Xenopus tropicalis: one gene and its partner. The protein of the gene in region 1 interacts with the protein of each later gene in a pairwise test. Links are inferred from orthologs where the notes say so. Each region holds a gene or a part of one and is shown on either strand. Other genes may lie near its edges.

Evidence for each region.
Region 2: the proteins of tnni3 (region 1) and tnnc2 interact in binary tests that used the Homo sapiens proteins (3 or more experiments, as listed by UniProt). The two-hybrid records come from large-scale screens. The link is inferred for Xenopus tropicalis from reciprocal best matches to the Homo sapiens genes TNNI3 and TNNC2.

Annotation. Positions count from the first base shown.
Region 1 is NC_030683.2:104,561,888-104,564,695, reverse strand, and holds the end of tnni3 (troponin I, cardiac muscle), read right to left. Parts: intron 1,842-2,808; coding exon 1,656-1,841; intron 1,547-1,655; coding exon 1,445-1,546; intron 1,003-1,444; 3' UTR 719-1,002; downstream 1-718. UniProt on the Homo sapiens protein: Troponin I is the inhibitory subunit of troponin, the thin filament regulatory complex which confers calcium-sensitivity to striated muscle actomyosin ATPase activity.
Region 2 is NC_030686.2:19,690,900-19,694,535, forward strand, and holds the end of tnnc2 (troponin C, skeletal muscle), read right to left. Parts: intron 3,453-3,636; coding exon 3,398-3,452; intron 2,054-3,397; coding exon 1,910-2,053; intron 1,639-1,909; coding exon 1,524-1,638; intron 1,371-1,523; coding exon 1,234-1,370; intron 1,148-1,233; coding exon 1,116-1,147; 3' UTR 505-1,115; downstream 1-504. UniProt on the Homo sapiens protein: Troponin is the central regulatory protein of striated muscle contraction. Tn consists of three components: Tn-I which is the inhibitor of actomyosin ATPase, Tn-T which contains the binding site for tropomyosin and Tn-C.

The DNA of each region.
Region 1 (2,808 bases):
TACCCCCAATGCTACAATGCCCCTTACTTCAATACCCCTTGTACACCTCTGAGGTCCTGGACACACTGGCTGATTAATCTGCTGATTTGTTCTGTAGGATCCAGGTTGGCAGCCCTTATAGGTCCCCTGTGGCCCTGTTTAGCCTAGTGTCACAAGCAGGTAGAGAAAATATCAATCCACTTATGGGGCCGACTTCTGCTTGAAAACTAATTGAAATTAAGCATTTTTTTGCACTAATATCTGCCTTGTGTGTGCACTGACCAGTGACGTAACTACCCCCCAGTTAGGCCTGTCGAAGTAACTGCACACTCCTGCCAGAATCACTGTGCCGAGGCCCGAAGGTGAGGAGTACATGGAACTTCTTCTGGTAAGGGGCCAGGCTGTAGGGGGGGGGGTTCCATTATGTACCAGGGCCAGTGGTCCAGTAGTTACGCCACTGGCACTAATAGATAAATACCATACATGCCAATGCATACTAAAGTCAGCAAAGAAAGCAGAGGATCAGTCTTTTGCAAGTGGAGAATATGCCTTGAGAGACATTGCCCTTAAGCAGGCCATACACAGGGACATTTAAGCTGCCAGTTCTGCCCCTCTAGTTGCCAATTTATGTGCCTGGGTATGGGCCCTGCTCAGATGCCTCTCTGACAGATGTCAGGCTTGGCCAGGCCCTTATTAAACAACGCTCACTGGCTGAGTGATTGAGACAAGATAGCTTAGCTGATAACTACAATATATCATTTAATGAGTTGCTTCGTCACAGAACAGTGGCAAGAAATAATTAGCTGTGCTGCAAGAAACAGAAATAATTCACTCTGCCAGTAGTTACATATTTGGGTAGAAGAATGAGGATTCAAACAACAGATACAGGCAGCCATGATATTCTCTGACAGGATGCTTTATTAGGGTCCCAGCTCTGGCCATTGCTGAGTAACAGCCTTGGTACACAAACGTAGAAGAATTGTCCAGTTTCAGTCCAGAAGTGACTTCCATTTGAAATCTCTCCTAAAAAGAACAATATGTATATAAATTCCATGCTTTCCTGGTGGTTTGGGTTGCATGCCAAGCTACGCAGGTCAGTGATGGGGTACCAAATAAGCCATATGTGACCATAAAGGATTAAGTAGAGGGGAAAAGGAAACATCACTCTTAGTTTGTCATTTTTTATGAATGAGAGCACATGCAGCACAGAGGCCTGGGTTAGCTCATTATACAGAGATCATTCTTGCTGCTTTTAATGGAAGCAAATGTCTGAAGCTTTAGTATTTTTTCCTATTTGCTTCAGACAGAGAAAGAGAGGTTTGTTTAGCAAGATATCATGCCCTGCCCATACTGTAGGGAACATATATTGCTGACTAATAATATAAAAATACTATAAAATACCAGGACATTATATGGTATTAGTACTAGTAAATATAAAAGTAACAGTATATTAAGTAATGCCTACTTAAACTGGGACAGCTCCAGTGGATTCAAACTTCTTCTTCCTGCCCTCCATACCACTCAGGGCATCAACGTTCTTTCTCCAGTCTCCTACTTCTCTTATATCCTAAAAGACAGGATTTTCTAGTAAAATAGCCTGCTGTATAGAATTTATAGAGACAATGACAAAATTGCTGAATTGATGTCACCACGCAAACTGGGGACACATAACTTACCTTGTCTGCGTCATCCTTTTTGGTTTGCTTGACCTGCTTGAGATTAGCCCGTAGGTCCATAGAGACTTTGTGCTTGGTGCCCAACAGCGCCCGCATCATGGCATCGGCAGAAAGGCGCACCCTCCTGAGGTTTGGCTTTTTAAACTTGCCACGGAGGTCAAAGATCTTTAAATTCAAGTCTTCAATCTGAAAGGACACAACAGGGTGCAGCCTGGTGATATATATATATGGATAATACAAGTTTGGCCCTATTTTTTGGGTATCAAAATGGGAGACTGGGAATGAATTGCAATAATTCAGGGGTTTATTTACTACCCTGTAGTTAATGGCGGGAATCTCACTGCTAGGAAAAGAGCACTTCTTGTTCAGAACTTTCCCTTCTTTAGCTAGGAAGATATCCTTATGTGAACCTTGCTCACTTTGGAACTGAACCTCAGCCCCCACCCAGTGACTGACTGGCCTGCTGGGATACTGGGGAATATCCTGGTGGCCTCCAGTCTCAGTAGGCTCCTTTACCTCTGACCCTTGTGCTCTCTCGACCTATTAGTTCACAACCACTGCCCCATCAGCCAATCGTTCTTTGTAGAGAGCATGCCAGCTGGAGTAACTCCTCCCTGAAACCCAAAGCTAATCTGAGTGAATGCAAATATGAATGTAGTTTTATTATACACAGTTATTGGGATGGGGCTTGGAATCAGGTTCTGTAATGAGTCCTTGATGTCCCCCACATCCAGCTCTTCTATCATTCTTTTAGCTTGGCTCCTAGTTATATTACCACACGTGCTGCCAATGGCAAAACCGAGACCCACTTATGAAAAACTTAAAGGAGAAGGCAAGCCAAAATTTATAAATGGTACCATTGAATAGTGCTACAATTGATAAACAAAAACTTATAAAATCTTACTTGAAAGTTTGAGCTCCATGTAAAGAATGGTGTGGCCATCTTGGAAGTGGTATGCCCACTTCACTGTCTACACTGCGCATGCGCAACCTTCTTCCCCCCCGGCGCGCGCCCTCCTGTGCGCATGCGAAACCTTCCCTCCCCCCAGCCTAGGCGTGCGTCTGTGTGGGCGCGCCTGATAACACATACTAGCAGCGCAGGCACGCCCGAACCTCTCCGCTCGTCGCTCCTGTTATTAATATTGTAAGTAAT
Region 2 (3,636 bases), on another chromosome or scaffold:
AATACAGAAGACCATACAACATTCTCGTTGGACACATTTTCTACCCCAATTTTTTCTTCTACTAGTAGTAATCTATTATATTGAGTAGTGGCTGTCCTTGCTGGAGAGAAGACCTTGGTGGGTGGGGATGGAACAGCTGTCTATTCATTGCCCTACAGGCAAATTGTAAATATATTCTTTCCGTGAAAGGGGGGTTTTATAGTTTTTTGGTACTGTCAGTTTCTTTATATCCAGTTGGGAGGGCTTCCCTTTAATATCAATTAAGCCTGTTCATATAGGCAGAGCAGCTTCAAAAGCAATGCTAATATTATACCACCATCTTTTCCTTTCGTTGCTTTCGTTCCTGCGAGTATAAATAGCATTCAGTACAACTGGGTGTACCATAATCTAACCCACAGGCCTAAAAATATACAGGTCTCCCTACTATAGTTTGACCTAATTAACTGACCTGACAATAACGGGACAACTGTTCTGTCATAAGAAATGACCACACTACAAGTCTTCTCAAAATACATCACCCTTTTTATTTACATGCTGAATTGTATGAATGTGAAAATAACGGATATGCAAAAATATTAGTGCTTTCCACTGTGTCTACGTGTCAGCATGAGGTTGGCAGCTTCTGTGTTATTATTAGGCAAACTAGACAGCCCTCTAGGGTGGAATGGGGTAGCCATAAGCTAGTGTGTCTCAAAACTTTTTAATGCTGCTATTTATGTGAGCATTGAGCAAAAAAAGATACTGCTACATTTGCTTTGCACCACAAATAGATATCTAAAGGAGTTTCTATCCTCTTCTGAGTATGAATGCAGCCCAGAGATAGCAAAGGTTCACTAAGAGTTTTAATGGTAACTGTAATTTTTTTTTATAAATAACATATGAGTCAGAAAAACAGGAAGATGAAGAGGGTAGAGAGCCTGATAGTAAACAGTGGATTAAGAGGTTCTCTGCAGGATGCAAGGTGGCCATAGAGAGTAATGTACACATCAGAAGCGAGGAGGATTGTGGGAGGTACAGTAAAAGAGCAGGATGACTTGCTCCTTCCTGAAATGTAAGTAAGACGCAGTGTAATGTACAGGTTGGCGTCACAACGCTCCAGAGGAATGTCCTACTGCTTACTGCACACCTTCCATCATCTTCAAGAACTCTACAAAGATAAAGGTATAGGCATTAAGTATATGTGGAGAGCCAATAATACCAAATGCATTTTTTTTCAATGGGTTGCAAACTCACCATCAAAGTCAATTTTGCCATCGTTGTTTTTGTCTCCATCTTTCATAAGCTCCTCAATCTCCTCATCTGTTATGCTCTCACCTGAGGAACGGAGGATTTCAGCTAACTCCTCGCCATCAATGTACCCATCAGCATTCCTGCAGAGCAGAGAAATGTCAGAGGCCACAAAAGGACACAATATGGTGGAGATTTAGTACAAAGATAGACACTAGGTGCTAGCACACATACAAAAATGAACTGAAAGACATAGCATACATAAATCCCATAAGGTGAATTAGGGGTGGACTTACTTGTCAAAAATGCGGAAGCACTCAGCCAACTCCTCTTCACTTTTGCCCTGCGCATCCTCTTTCATCTGGCGCACCATCATGACTAAGAACTCCTCAAAGTCGATAGTGCCGCTGCCTGTAAGATAACACCAATTACACCTCCATTTGACAACCACTCTGTGTTAACTATTCAACTGGCAATATCCCAACAGACCTCACTTATTGTGAATTGTTGGTTCATCTTAGGGATCACTCAAGAAAACAGATTCAAGCACTATGGTACTTCAGACTAAAAGAACACATTAAACATGTTCTCTTAAATGGCTCTCTTATGGCTTTTGGTGTAAGTACAACTCTATTGTCACACATTAATTTCCTACTAAGTATTCAAGTTTCTAAAAACTCACCATCCTCATCTACTTCCTCAATGATGGCATCCAACTCCTCCTTGGTTGGGTTCTGTCCTAACATCCTCATGACAGTTCCCAACTCCTTGGTGCTGATATCACCGCCACCATCAGTGTCAAACATGTCAAAGGCAGCCTTGAACTCTGCACAGAGAATAAAAAAAAAATCAGAAATCTTCTGTGTGCCACTCCAGGTTATCCCCTTCCTTCACCATTTTAAGTGCATTGATCTCAAATGAATCTTTGACTTGCCTTTTTACTGGAGCATGAACCTAAAATGTTCCTTCTATCCAATAATACCTTTTATTATCTGTCTTTCCTATTATAGCCTTTTCCTACATTCCCACCTTAAATTTTCATTCTTCACTCAATCTTCTTTTATTCAATCTCACACCTTACAACCTACTTTAACTGTTTATCATTCACTCAGTCACTTCATAATCTAAAAGACACATTGTTCCTTTTTCACCAAAAATCATGAACTGTTCCACTTTGAAGGTTAATGACAGGCTAAAATGTCATTGGCCCTCTTGTTCAATAAACCATATTGCCTTCAATGCCTACCCATCTACAAAAGTGTTAAGGATGAAAGAGTTAAGGAGAAAAGGGAATGAAGAAAATAGAGTGAAAAGGGGGGGAAAAAATAAGAGGGCAGAAGTGGAAATTCTTTACCCCTTATATTCTTACATTTATTAAACCTTCACATCACCTCCTTCCTTCATTATCACCAAATTTTTGCACAATTCATTGCATTTTTCTAAGCTACAGCATGTCAGTTACATAATGTCCATTATTCTCTCTTATTTCCAGGCATCTGGATGTTAAGGTAGAAATTTGTTCAACATTTTCTCATCATGACTCATCCCCTATAATTCTATGAAGCTTATTGCCCTGGTACTCAAATTTACAACAAACAATCAGCAGTTAGTATTGTGCCTGCAATGGGTTAATAGGTTGCATGTGTGTCTGTATATAACCCTATGTAGATTGTGCTTTATAACTAGAACCATTTGTATCTTCTTTTTTGTTTTTCTATTTACATAGCTTATTTCCCCTTTCCTTATCCCTTCCTCAGGAGAAACTATGAATGAGCCTATTTCCCCTTTCCCTATGCCTTCCTCAAGGAGAAACTATGAAAAGCTAAAAATGTGTATTATTATGTGTGATATCTGTGTAAAACCTCCTTCCCTGTTCTTTTTATATTTTCTTAGGTATTCTTTTCCTCCATTATGCACAAAATACTGATGTTTTCATGGGTGGAGGCCTTATATTTATCAATCTAGCCATCCCCACGTGCCCATACATACAGGCAGAATAAGAAGTGCAATTATCTGCACCTAACAGGAGACATACACACTGAATCAGACATACATACAGACTCCTACACACCTACCTGCACAAATGCTCTGTTTTCACAAAAAGTAATTAAACCTGGCACAAAATAATATAGTCTAGAGATAGAAAAGGAAACCATGAAACAGGACATACCAGCAATCATTTCCTCGCTGAGGAAGGACCTCGCATCTTGCTGTTGGTCTGTAGGCTGCAAATCAAAGATAAGGTGTCAATCAATGCTGGAAAAATAAAGCAAGTTTTCTTCCCGCCACCCCATTTTGCCATTCTTTATCATTTGGAGCAGAATACAATACAAAAATATAAAAAAGGGTAAGGGTTGCTGTCCCAATTGACTGTTGGTGCCATTCTACATATAGGGAGCCAGCCCATCC